Linked DNA regions of Tamandua tetradactyla. The protein of the gene in region 1 purifies or fractionates together with the protein of each later gene. This does not show direct contact. Links are inferred from orthologs where the notes say so. Each region holds a gene or a part of one and is shown on either strand. Other genes may lie near its edges.

What was found. Proteins that work in one complex are often made in the same cells at the same time.
Region 2: the proteins of OGDH (region 1) and DLST fractionate together in Homo sapiens (co-fractionation; 3 studies listed by BioGRID). This does not show direct contact. The link is inferred for Tamandua tetradactyla from reciprocal best matches to the Homo sapiens genes OGDH and DLST.

Annotation. Positions count from the first base shown.
Region 1 is NC_135327.1:66,020,713-66,027,735, reverse strand, and holds the start of OGDH (2-oxoglutarate dehydrogenase complex component E1), read right to left. Parts: upstream 3,036-7,023; 5' UTR 2,915-3,035; intron 1-2,914. Other genes in the region: TMED4 (transmembrane emp24 domain-containing protein 4), read left to right, coding at 6,724-6,949. UniProt on the Homo sapiens protein: 2-oxoglutarate dehydrogenase (E1o) component of the 2-oxoglutarate dehydrogenase complex (OGDHC). Participates in the first step, rate limiting for the overall conversion of 2-oxoglutarate to succinyl-CoA and CO(2) catalyzed by the whole OGDHC.
Region 2 is NC_135338.1:33,947,612-33,954,700, forward strand, and holds the start of DLST (dihydrolipoyllysine-residue succinyltransferase component of 2-oxoglutarate dehydrogenase complex, mitochondrial), read left to right. Parts: upstream 1-4,034; 5' UTR 4,035-4,103; coding exon 4,104-4,166; intron 4,167-4,745; coding exon 4,746-4,779; intron 4,780-7,089. UniProt on the Homo sapiens protein: Dihydrolipoamide succinyltransferase (E2) component of the 2-oxoglutarate dehydrogenase complex. The 2-oxoglutarate dehydrogenase complex catalyzes the overall conversion of 2-oxoglutarate to succinyl-CoA and CO(2).

The sequences.
Region 1 (7,023 bases):
CATATGGCAAATAAGTGCACAAAAAAAGTTCAATACCACTAGCTATTAGGGAATTACAAATTAAAACCAGAATGAGCTACTACTACACATCTATTAGAAAGGATAAAATAAAAAATAGTGACATCACCAAATGCTGGCAAAGATGTGGATAAACTAGTTCACTCATGCACTGCTAGGAGAACTGTAAAATGGTACAGCCACTCTGGAAAACAATTTGGCAATTTCCTAAAAAAACTAAACATGGAACTCATATGACCTAGCAATTGCATGCCTAGGCATATATCCTAGAGAAATAAAAACTTATGTTCACACAAAAACTGTTACACAAATGTTAATAGCAACGTTCTTTGTAATAATATCCCAGTCTGGAAAAAACCCTGACAATGGGGAATAGCTAAACATACTGGTGCATCATACCATTAAATGCTACTCAGCAATAAAAAGGGACTTACTAATGCTACACACAGCAACCTGGATGAATCTCCCAGAGGATTATGCTAGTGAAAAAGCTAATCTCAGAAGGCTACATATTGTATGATTCCATTTATATAAAGAAGATGAAATGACAAAAGCACAGAAATGGTGAACAAAGTGGTTCGCCAGGGGTTAAGCAGAGAGTGGGAATGGGAGGAAAAAGGGTGTGGCTATAAAAAAGGGAACAAGAGGTGTATTTGTGGTAATTAAAGTGTTCTGTATTTTAACATTTATTAGTCAATATCCTAGTTGTGCTATTGTACTGTAATTTTGCAAAATGTTACCATAGGGAAAATCTGAATAAAGAGGACAACTCTATTATTTCTTTTAACTGCACATGAATCTACAAGTATCTCAAAATGAAAACCAGCTCAAAATTTTAAAAATAGAGGTTATTTTTTTAAAAAATGAGGGTGGTGAGGCATGAGATAGGTTAAAAGCATATAGTAAATACGGGAAATATTTGGTATTTCATAAATTCTGCAATTAAACAAAACCAAGATTGGCATGTTTCTGAAATTCTAGTTAGTCTTTAAAAGTAACTGAATTCTGGTAATGGCTGCATAACTCTGAATAAACTATAATCACTGAATTGTACACTTAAATGGGTGAATTGTATACGATGTGAATCATATTTCAATGAAGCTGTTATTTTCTAAAAGGCAACTGAAATGTGGAAAGTGCTAGCAAAGCTCTGGTAATGGATGGTGGTGATAACACAACACTGACAATGTAATTAATACTGCTGACTCGTACACTTAAAAATGGTTAAAACAGCCAATTATATACATATATATTCATGTATATAAAACCACAATAAAATTAAAAAGAAAAAAGTAATAATAAATGAGTGATACACTGATCTTTCTCCCACTATCCAAAATTCAGTACTCAACTAATTTCCAAAGCTGGAGGAGTGTTAAGTATTTTCATATGGAATGGATCTACATAGCAAAAACGGTGGCTTGACTGTTGCACCTAGTGCTGGAGTGCAAAAAGGCTTCAACCCCAAACCATTCATCTTAAAAACTGCTTGGAGCAGTGTACCTGGAAATCAGACACCAGCACCTGCTTCAAAGCAAAGAACTGAAAACAAGGCACAAAGAAACGTAATTCGGAGTTCACACTTTGGACCGCTGGTGAGTGATCTCTGTTCTGAACAAAGGAGTAGAAGAGCTGGTGGGGGATACATGAGGGTCAGTCACGAAGTTCTTGTTTACCAAGAATAAATGCCACGGCTATCCTGTGATGGTGTTGCCACAAGTTTATTAAATCTCCCTATGCAACAACTTCCGTGTATATTAAAATGCCTTTTCAAAAGGGGAAAATAAAAAGGGAATTGTGTTCCCATAGGAATTGACCTTCAGTTCAATCAAAATGTCCCATAAAATTTCCAAAAAGGTGTAATTACGGTTGCGAGATTACTCCATAGAGAGATAAATCGACTTATCCAATGTCATTACCGAGTGAAGCTGCAGAAGGGACAGCCAAGAATTCCTAGTCCAAGAAATGCAGCCAACCTAATAATATTCTACGTGTGTTCTGATATAACAATGGTGGGGGGACACAAGCCAGAAGAGGCAACAATTACATAAAAAGGCCATTCAATGCCCAGGTATTGGTGGGGGGCGGGGGGACACCTCAGAAGGACACAGAGATGAGCGCGTACAGTTCGAAAATCAAGAGCGGAATTGTGGAGCCCCAGGTCTCCACACACCTGCTCCCGCCCTACACAGGAAAACTAACGGATTAGAGGACAAAAGGGGGAGATGCAGAGGGCAGGAGAAGTGAGCTTCCTGGAGGGCGCAGTGCCCGCCTGCGGCTCACATTCCTCTAATGAGCGTGTGCGACGCGTGCCCAAGGGATCCCGGCCCGAGACAATCCGCCCGCATGCCTGGGAAGACCCGGGGACAGCGCCCTCGGAGGGGCCGAGGCACTGGCCGACGAGCCGGGAGAAAGCTCGCTCCTCGGAGAGACTGCAGAACCCCCAGCGGAGCCCAAGGCAGCCTGGAGGGGCGCGACCCTGCCCGGGACGACCCCTCCCACGTGACGCCTGCTCGCGACCTTGTGGGTCACCCTGGAAGCGGCTGCAGCCCATTCCCTCACATCCGCCCGCCGCGGAGGCCCCGCCCCCATCGAGCCGACAGCCAATTCCGAGCCCCTCCGCGCCCCGAGCGAGCCCTTCGCACCTGTCACTCTCAGCCCGCCAGGCGACCACCGCCGCCCTATTGGCTGCAACTCCAGTCCCTCAGGAATCCCCCCCAGTTCCCGCCCACCCCCCTCCGTCACCTCCGCTCCATCCCCGCCTCACTCCACTGTCACCGCGGCAGTAGCAGCGAACTACGGCGCAGCGGCCTCGCCCCCTGGCCGTGACCTCCGCCTCACTGGCCGCACGCGCAGAGGCCTCCCCGCACCCGCGCCCGGGCCTAGCCGCAGCTACCTGTCTCCCGCCGAGGCTCCGCCCGAATGAGGCGCCGACACCGTACTCCGGTAGCACCAAACTCTTGGTCCCGCCCCCTGCGTGCTTCGTCAGCACGTCGCCCGCCCCGAGGGAGTGGAGTACGCCCGCCCCGCCCGCGCCCTGCACCGGTACTCTAACCGGCACCTGGTTTAGAGGGCGTGGCTGGGATGGCGGCCGGTGGCCCGTGGCCGCATTGTCACAACGGTCCCGGGTGGGCTCGGTGGTCGCCTGCAGAGCCCAGGTGGTTCCCGGTGAGCCACGCCGCCCCTTCCGTACGCGTTCGGTGGGTCAAATCTAACAAAGTTTTTTGAAATGATGGGGGGAAATTGAACTCTGCATACTAAGCATTAGATGGTATCAAAAAATTATTTTAAAATTTTGAGTGTTATAATGTCCTTTTTAGAACTCCTTATCTGTTAGAAAGGTACACAAGCGTTTATAGGTGAAATGAAATGATGTCTGGGATTTTCTTGATAATACTTCAGAGAAAAGTTAGAAGGATAGATGAAACAAGAATGGCAAAACTTTATTGAAGCTAGTTGGTGAGTATATGAAAATTCTTTACAGCATTCCCTCTTTTTTTGTCTGGAAATCCCCTTAATTATAAACAAACTTTCTACCTTCTTTTGCTCTGATTCCATGCGCAATAAGTAACCAAGTAAGTTTCTAGTTAAGTTTTCATTTTCCTTTATACTGCACAAAGGGTGTGTTCTGGCTAGGGGTGTAGACATACTCCATGACACCACTCGTTCCTAGTTGTCCTCTTATCTCTCTTTTCCATAATTATCTTAGTCGAGATATTCAGTCCCATTTTCTGCCAGTTGTTCAAAGAATGAAGGAAGGAGAACAAGACAAACTATTAGGAGAAGGAAGGAGTGGGCAATAGTGAACAGAGAGGTTAAATAAATGAAAGCCGAAGAGTGTCTGCCACTGGATTTGTAGGGAAATCAGGAACTGGCAGCTTGACTGCTAAATGTGGCTAGAGATTGTGCTTTGTTGTCTGTTGTGTGAGACAAAAGTTGAGCTAAAGGCTAAGGTTTTAAAATCAAAGACACCCAAATTTCTACCTTTTTAGAAAAACAAAAAGAAAAGAAAGTCTAGCAGCACTGGGCTTACATTCCATACCAAAGAACTGCCATCCCCCAGGAAGGCTTATCTTGACGAACTTATTTCTTTAAATGTCACAAGGTTGTTTATCATGGTTCAATCCCAATACTTACAGGATAAACAGGTAGCAGCATATATATATATATATGTAAAAATACATACATATATCATGAGCAGGCACCAGGAATCGAACCCGGGTCTCCTGCACGGCAGGCGAGAACTCTGCCTGCTAAGCCACGTGGCCCGCCCAGGGTTTTAATTTTGATTGTATTTTGCAAGGAGAGTACACAAAGGCAAGTGCCAGGTACCCCACATACACTTCCCAAGGTCCCATCATAGCCATTTTTTTGCATCCTGACAAAGCTGCAGCAGGATTCACCCCAAAAAAAGAAATAGGGGAAGACCCAGCTGGACTTACCCCAAAACACCCCACAATGGCACTGGTTGCCCTTCTGAAGAAGGAACCATTAAACATGGGGTAATCAGTCCTTAAGCATTTATTAGGGGAACTTACAGAAAGCTGCAGGTACTTTGCACGAAGTTCACTTGAGTATGTTCTGCATCTATGGCAACCACTCCACAGATGCTTGGGGAAACAAAAGTGGCTAAATGCCAGGGTTGGTGTGCAAATCTTGGACAAACATCTTGGTATGTGCTTTTTTCTCAAAACAAGATGCACTCAAGGTGGGCAGTGTTCAAGATAACAGCAACCAAAGCTTGGCATGCTTCCAGAGAGTTACTGGAAGGGTTGCCTGAGGAGGTGGGCAGGGATGAGCTCTGCATCACACACCTCTTAGCCTGGTTTCCTTCCAAGGAATGTCTTTGTTGTACTGGCAGATAACTTCCAGGCAGTAATGAAGACGCAGGCATCCCAGCTATAAGACAAAGAGTGTGAGTGCATGAATGTGGTGATTATGTTTTCCAAATCTTGACCTAGAGGACAGTGAGCTGCCTGATAAGTTGCGACTACTCTGGTGGGAAAACAGGGGATGGATATCAAAAAATGAAAAAGACTCCAAGTTTCAACTTTGAAGAACAAGTGTAGGGAAAATTTGACATTGAGGTTGCTGTCTCTATTTGCTGAATATTCCAGCCCCTTCCTTCTCTCATCCCCATTGCCATCAACATCTCTTATTTGAAGCATCAAAGTCACCTCCTGACAAGCTTCCCTGTTACTCTGGTCCATTTGTAGTCCATTCTCCACAGTACAGCCAGAGTATTTTTTTTATTAGTTATTATTTTGGGGGATGTGTGTGTGTGTATTGTCTGGGAATTGAACTCGGGTCTCCCACATGTAAGGCGAGCATTCTACCACTGAACTACCCAGAGTATTTATTTTTACCTGTAAATACTACAGTATGTACCTCTAACAGATGAGGACTTAAACAATCCACAGTACAATAATGATATGCAACAAAACAACAAAATCGACAATAATTCCTTAATGTCTCATAACACCCAAGTTCACATTAGAGCACTCATTGTCTCAGATACATCCTTTTCTTGTTGGTTGGTTTGAATCACAATCCAAACAAGGCCCACACATTCTATTTGGTTGTTCTGCTCTTAAGTCTCTTTTTTTTGGGTGGGGGCGGGGTGCAGGGTCCGGCAATCGAACCCAGGTCTCCCGCATGAAAGGCGAGCATTCAACCACTGAACCACCCGTGCACCCAAGTCTCTTTTAAGTCATAATGTTTCTTCCTCCCCCACTTTTAATGCCATTTTTGTTGTTTATTTCCTTGTCTGCACAGTTTCCCAGTCTGGATTTGGTTGATTTTATCCTCATGGTGACATCTGAGATGCTCCTTTAACTCCTGTATTTCCCATAAGCTAGTAGTGAAACCAAGAGGCTTGACTAGTTTTAAGCTCTTGCAGGGAGAAGGAACAAGAATATTGTATAGGTGGCACATCGCTTCAAGAGGCACATGTGTCTGGTTGTCCCTCTCAGGAATATTCAAAGTCCTCAATGAGTTCAGGGGTCCACTGGCCAATCCTCTCAGATAATGTTTATCTAGATCCGTTATTCCAGTAGGGCTTGCAAAGCGGTGATTTCAGTCACTGTTTTTTTTTTTAAGTCTGATAGATCACACCGCAGGTGTTTAAACCCTTTCAGCAGCTTCCCTGCTGTACTTTGAGTAGTTACACCGCTGCACCCCCTTCATCTGGCCTCTCTCTTCCTGCCCCCGCCCTCCCAATCCTGTCCACTTCCTCCTCCGCCGTTGTGTTTTCTCGACGCGGATTGTTTTCTAACGGGAAAGTTTTAGGATCTGTCATTACGCATTTGTTTCTTATCAGTTCCCCTAACCGACCCTCGTTTCGGAGTGGCAGGTAGAGCTGGGGTTCTAGATTTTATTCACCAGTGTACTGCCAGCCTCTGGCAATGAGATTAGAACGTAGTCACCACCCAGTAAACATTTGCTAGATTTACTCTTAGCTTGTGCCCCAGAAAGTCAAGGACGCATCCTCGGTGCCACCGTACAAACGAAATGCTAAAGGGGGCGAGGGAAGTCGGAGGGCACCGGTTTGCAAGGAAGACGAATGCCGGGCTTCCGGGACCGCCAGGGCTTCAGTGCCACAAGACCCAGACCTGGCCCCTTAGAACCCTCAGTTGAGAAAAGAGGCACCACCCCACCCACGCTCTGGGACGGGCGCTGTGTCTGCGCGTGCGCGCACCCCCGCGCATGCGTGTAGCAGTGCCGCGTTGTCCCGAAGCGGCGCGCAGGCGCGCTGGGCGAGAGGCGCGCGCTATGGCAGGTGTTGAGGTCCCGCGGCGACCCGCGATGCGGCTGTTGGCGCTGGTGTTGGTCGCGCTCTGCGTGGCGGGTGTTCGGGGGCTGTACTTCCACATCGGCGAGACCGAGAAGCGCTGTTTCATCGAGGAGATCCCTGACGAAACCATGGTCATCGGTCAGGCGGGCGTGAGGGAGGAGAGGGCCTTCTCCCTTTCGCGTCCGGCCCTCCGTGTCGCGCCCTCCTCCCTC
Region 2 (7,089 bases), on another chromosome or scaffold:
GATGGTGTAGTTATACAGAGAAGGTAGGGTTTAACAAATGAGTATGAGTGCTGAATCATTATATTAATACTTCCTTTGGTCTCCAGTACTTTAGAGCAGCTAGTAGTAAAAACCTAAAACAGTGGAATTGTTACCCATACCAAAATTCTTAAATCTGTTCTACAACTCATTGTTGCAATGTACTTTGAAATTTATTGCTTTTTAGTATACATGTTCTTATTCACAAAAAAGAAAAATACATATTTCTTCCAGTGTCCAGTGTTTTACAGGAGCTAGGAGGGAAATTCTGAAATAGTGAAATGGTAACCCATAACAAATTCTAAAATCTGTTCTGTATCTACTTATTGAAGTGTACTTTGAAAATCATTGCTTTTTTTCTTTTCTTTGCATACATGTTATATTTAACAATAAAGAAAGTTTTAAAAAACAAACAAGCAAAAAAAAGTCTTTACCTAGTCATTTTCTGAAAACTTCCCTGGACCGGTGTTAGGGAACTACTGCTCTTCTTACCATGTCCTTGCTTTATGATGGGGAAACAAACCCAGAGAGGTGAAGGGCCATGCCCAAGATCACAGGAGAAACACCCCTAGCTGTCAGAGATCCTTCCAGTGACTGTACAGCATCCCGGGCTGGGAGTTAAGAGGTCTGGCCTCTACTCCCAGCCATTTGCCCTCAGGCCACACTCAAGCTTCTTTGTGCCTTTTTCCCCGGGGATGCCCATGACAGGTATGAGAACCAGCCTTTTTTTTTTTTTTCAAACATAACAACATACAAACATGAACATTCTTACCATATGATCATTCCATTCTTGGTATATAATCAATAATTCACCATATCATCACATAGTTGTATATTCATCACCATGATCATTTCTTAAAACATTTGCATTAATTCAGAAAAAGAAATAAAAGGAAAAAAGAAAAAACTCATACATACCATACTCCTTACCCCTCCCTCTCATTGATTGCTAGTATTTCCATCTACCCAATATATTTTAGGCTTTGTTTCCCTTATTTTTTTCTATACCCTTTATCACTCCCTTCCATTGATCACTAGCATTTCAATCTACTAAATTTATTTTAACATTTGTTCCCCCTATTATTTATTTATTTTTAGTCCATATGTTTTACTCATCTGTCCATATGTAGATAAAAAGAGCATCAGACACAAGAGAACCAGTCACTTTCAAAAGGAGAGCTTCAAAAGTGTTCCAGAGTTGTGCTGAATGAAGCTGCATCTGATCTATAGTTTTTTTTGTTTGTTTGTTTGTTTTCTCTTATATATTTTTGTACTTTTTATTTTTATTTGTGTTTTCTCTCTGTGTTATCACTTTATTTCTTTTTCTGTTGTAGTGCTATTTCTTTCTCTAAATCGATGCATATGTACTGAGAAATGATGACCATACACCTATGTGATGATATTAAGAATTACTGATTGCATATGTAGAATGGATTGATTTCTATTGTTGTGTTAGTTAATTTTTTTAATTAATAAAAAAAAAAAAAAGTAAAAATAAAAAAAAATAAAAAAAAAAAAGTGTTCCAGAGTTGCATGCCAGGGTATTATGGAGTGAAATATCTTGATGTTTACAGTTTACTTGACAGTATTTTAGCCCACAAAAATAGATGAAGAAAATATGGCAACATATCAACAACTGTTAAATCTAGGTGATGGGTATTCATGGGTGGGTATTCCTTATGATAGTTTATCTGCATTTCAGTATGCTGGAAAACGTTAATAATGAACATTCCTTAACTGTAAAAAGCACTCTGGCAATGGAAATGGAAGGGATGGGATGGGGTTACTCACAGGAACGAGGTCTGCAGAGAGGTCCAGGTCCAGGGTCTACAGCCAAGCAGGGCCCGCCATCCCGAGGAGATGGAGCAGCCCTCTCTTCACCTGCCTTGGGCAGACACAGCCATGGTCAGGAAGTGTTTTTGGTTTCCTCTCCTTCCTCCCCAGGCAGGTCTCCAGCCGTGACTGGGTGAGGGGATTCACCCTCCCACTGCCCACCCTTCTCAGTCAGTGTAAGGCACCATCTGACAGACCCAGCCCAGCGCTGCTGCAACTGCTGGCACTGGGGACAGTGGGGGCTACCCAGAGCAGCCAACCGGTGTGGGGGGGCTTATGAATATGCAGATAAGGCCAGAGCCGGTTGGCTACCCTCCTGCCACTTCCCACTTCCACCCCAACTCAGGTGCCCAGAAAGACAGCTCAGAGAGAACCTTCCTGAAATGCCACCTCTTTTCTCCTTGCCAAAGGAATCAGAGAGCCCTTAGAGAAATATGTGGACTGAATTATCCAGCTTCTTCCATCACTTTGGACTCTAGTGGGGAGCCCCTAACCTCTGCTTCCAAATTCCCCAGCAAGGCAGTTCCAAAGTGAACATCCTTCTCCTGCTCCTCAAACATCCTAAGGTTATAGCACCTACCCAGCTCCAAAATATGACATCTCTGCTCTAAAGGAAGGTTGCGTGGCCTCTCCCTCCAGCTAGATCCAAAACACTGTTGGGGAGGCTGGTTGCTGGACCAAAAGTTCCCAGCCCTAGCAGAGCTGAGGAGGACTCACTGGCCAAATTTACCTACCCCTGAACATCACCTGAATTTTGCCATTCTCCTCCATCAGTTCACAAAGTAGGGAAGTAGAATAAATGTTCTGAAATAGGGCAATGAAAAATCAATGAACTTCAGCTCAACTCATCAATTTATCAACTTAACTTTTTCAATTCATAAACATGTGTTCCATTGTGAAATATATATTCAAAAAGGTTTGTAAATATATGTGTACAGTTTTAAGAAGACTAATAAGAGGAATATTCATACCCACCACCCACACTATGGAATGAAAAAACCCTTGGTGGCCCTTCTTGATCATTCTCCCCAGAGTTAACCACCACTGTCCTGAGTTATATACTGGCCATCTCCTTGCTTTTTTTTTTATAGCTCCAACATCTACATGCCCTAAACTACATACAAATTTTGCCTATTTTTTAAATTGATAAAAGGATGCATTTACTTTCATATTATACAAGAATTTTTTTTTTTCTGTTTTTAGAAAGGAAAAGTGGCTCAGCTAATGAAAAATGGCAGAGTGGGCAGCTCACCTTTAACAATACAGGCTTCTTCTCCCTGTCCTCAAATTCCCCAGTATTCACATATGTGGTCTGAACCACTACTCACTAGGTATTGTACCTTCCAGCCTTGAGGAAATGAATAAGGGGATTGCAGCTGCTGTTTCTGCCTTCATGGTGATAGGTCTCCAAAGGGTGTGGATTAACGTGCATGATGGGACACAAGGTCATGTCCTTTTATTTATAAGGTAATGGATAAAATGTTATGCCTCAAGAAAGCTAAGAGGCCCAAATACAGCCGCAAATATTCACTGTGCACCCTGCCTACCTATGCCAATCTCTGTTCTAGTGCTGGGGATACGACAGTAAACAAGACAGACCGGATCCCTAATCTCATGAAGTTTATATTCTAAGAATGGGCTGACAAACGAACAACCCCCGCCCAGATACCCAGGAAAATCAGTTGTTTGGTTAAAGAGAATTTGGGCAGGGACAGGGATAGATCTGGAGATGGTGTTGCAAAAGTAAGACAAGTCGGTGAAGGTCTTCGGCTTGGCAAGAGGGTAATGGGAATCCTTGAGATGTTTCTTGGGGGTTCTTTTTCTTTGTTTCGGGGTTAGGAAGGCAGGGAAGTGGCAAATGCCCTTTTAACAGTTAAGAAACCTAGGGACAAAAAGTCTAAGACCAGGCAGGTATGTCCGCAAAGGTGGGCGTTCAAAACCAGTGCTCGCCTTTCGCTTCTTTCCCCTGAAGAAGAACAGTGCGGGGCCCTAGGGTCCCAGGTGAGGAGAGCGCGGCCCGCAGCATCCAGCTCTGCACGACAGGCTCCGAGAGCACGTCACTGACGTCTGCCCGCGGGCGCTTGACTCCCGGGCTGGGACCCGGGCTGTTCTGTGCCACCCATTCGCCCGCTGCCAGTGGTTTGCTCCGAACACCCCTCGCTGCGCGGCGGGTGCCGCGACCCGCCCCACTTCCGGTTGCCGCCGGGCCCTATATCCGCTGTCCGCCCGCTCTCAGCTTTCCTGTGTTCGTGATGTTGTCCCGGTCCCGCTGCGTGTCCCGGGCGTTCAGTCGCTCCCTCTCCGCCTTCCAGAAGGTACGGTCCGGCCGGGCCGGGGTCACAGCGGTGAGGAGCCTGTGGGCAGGCAGCCGGCCGGCCGGCCCTCCCAGAGGCGCGCTCGCCACCCAGGCCGGCCACCCAAGGGCACTGGGACGCGGAGGCCGCGGGCTAGATGGCCCAGGGTCGCCGTCGCCCTCGGCACTGCCTAACCGAGCAGAGCCCAGAGGCCCCTCTCTTTCTGAGGCAGCCCTCGCCAACCATCTCCTGCCGCACCCTACCCTCAGATCTCGGGCTCGTGAGCCGCCCGGAACTGCGCCCGCCCTGACACGGGACTCAGAGTTCGGGAGGAGGCGCGGATGCTTCCCGGTGTGATTCGGCGATTTGTCTCTTCTCATCTGTTAAAATCAGGGGGTGTCAGCCCCATTGGGAAGTTGACATAGTTTGACAGGCCCAGTGTGCAGGTTGGGATCGTGAGCCCTGGATGTTGCATTTGGAGTCACGAGATTCACCTGTCACCAGCACTGAGACAGCTTTTGAGTTTATCTTTAAAAGAAAAAGCTGTTTCTTCCCTCCTTTCATCTTGGGTGACGTCGATAATGTCTTCTTTCTCAACAGGGGAACTGCCCTCTAGGGAGACGTTCCCTGACTGGTAAGTTCTGCCCTTGCCCTGGCCGTCACCTAAAATGCTCTTCTCTTGGGCAGAGGAGTATGTGAGGAAAGACGGGGTACCTGTGTTTTGCCTCATAATGTTCAAAGACATAATGTTCAGTTCACATAAGAGTGAAACACTGTCTGACTTAAGTAGTTAGCCGTCTTACGTTTAATAATTTAATAATTACAGCTGTTATTCATTCATTGCATAATTATTGAGTGTCTTCTGTGTATCAGTGCTGTGCTAGGCACCAACTGGAGATATAACAATGAGCAGTTTTGTCCTCATGAGGCTTACTGACGAATGAGAAAGACAAGGTGTAAATGGTTAAGCAAACAACCACAAATTTTAGTAAGTGCTAAGAAGAGCATGAATGAGGGTAGACAGAGAAAACCCCTCTGAGTGGGTGACATTAAAGCTGTGACCTGGAAGGTGTGACAGAACCAACCTAGTAAAGAGCAGTTGAAAGAAAGGGAACAGCATGTGCAACGTCCCTGAGGAAAGAAAGGTGGCAGTATTTAGGAACTGGAAAAGTGGTTTGGCTAGGGCATTTTGGTTAAGAGAGGAAGTGGCATTGGCATCAGAAGATGTTATAGAGACTTTTGGAAGGAGTTTAAATTTTATCCCAATGCTTTTTGGAAAATCATTAATGCTGTGTTTGATATAGCTTATTTTTTACTATATGACTAGCATAAAGTTGAAGGGATGAATCTTTATTGTAGGCTCTCCGTATGCCAAGGATTGTTCTAACTGTTTTCTCTGCATTTTTCAGTTAATCACAGTCAGTAAGAGAGAGAGATTTATCTCTGTTTTACAAATGTACGACGACCTGAGACTCAAAGAGCTTAAGTACCTTGGTCAAGGTCACTGGGTCAGCTATTAGTCAAGTCAGGTCTCCCTGAGTCCAAAGCCTGAACTCTTTAACCATCATGTTATATACTCATATAGTCCACAGATAATTTGAGTGTTTACTACATACCAGGTACTATGCTAGGTGACAGGGATGCTGATGGTCTCTGCTCTCATGTATCTTATGGGCTAGCTGGGGTGGCAGAGTAAGTACACATTTATGCACACATGGGACATAATTACATTGTGATAACTAACAGAAGAGAAACGCAGGGTATGATAATGGGGTAAATGATGTAACCCAGTTTTGGAGGATGAGGAGTGTAGTGGAAATGTCAGTAAAGGCTTTCCAAAAAAGTGGTATTTAAGCTGAGACTTGAAGAATAAATAGGAGTCAGCCAAGAGAATGATACTCCAGACAAAAAAGGGAGTTGCTGGTACAAAGGTTTTCAGGCAGGAAGGAGCTTAACAGGTCATGGAAATGGAAAGGAAGCCTGCCTGGCTAGAAAGATAGAGCTGTGTAAAGATTTTGGACTTTATCCTGAGAGTCGGCAAAGCATAGCACCTAGCATGGCGTCAGCACAGTGAACTCTCAATAATAAACATTCTTTTTAACTGGGAATCCTGGAAAATGCCAGTAAGCATTCTCTCCCTTTTAATAGACTGACAGAACAATAGAAAGAGCCTTGTTTGCATCCTGGATCAGAGCTTTACCTTGGGTAAAGGTAACCTCCAGAAGTCCTATATAAATATGAAATAGGAATAATTGCAGATGGTTACTTCACTCCAGAGAGTTGTGAGACTCAGAAATCAAAATGAGGTCATTATGTGAAAGCTTTTTATAAACTAGAAAGTCCTGTACAAATGGAACTTGCTATTGAATGAGTTCTAAATTGGACTCAAGGTTCCAAAAATCAGTATAGCAGCTGGCTGTTCTAGCTCAGAGATGTGCTATGCTTAGGATTTTTACTGCAGGCTCATTGGCTGCTTGGCATAGGTAACTTGACTCTGAAATCCAGGAATGTTTGTGAAGAGGTGGGCACAAGAGAAAGAGATCTCCTGTCGTCAGAAAGCATTAAGATCTGGTGGGTGGGGATGGATTGTGAATAAAAATAAAATAAAAATAAATATATATATATACACATTATATGTATAATTATGTAATAATTATTATAATTATATCAATAAATAAGTTTATTTGGGAAAGGCAGAAATAGTAATTAGTCACCAGTTGGGGAAATGGTATTACCTGTGAACAGATAATTGGTAGGGCAGAAAGGGGCTCTCATTTTGTCAAGAGTGAACAGGGTGGAAGTTCACAGGAAAGGCATGGGAGAGCAATAAGCTGAAAGGTGGGGAAATAATTTGCTCAGTCCTAGGACAGGCTGGAGATCCTGAGCCTAAAGAAGCCCAGTCTTTGCTACTTCCAGCCCTGTCCATTCAGGAACCAGGGACACA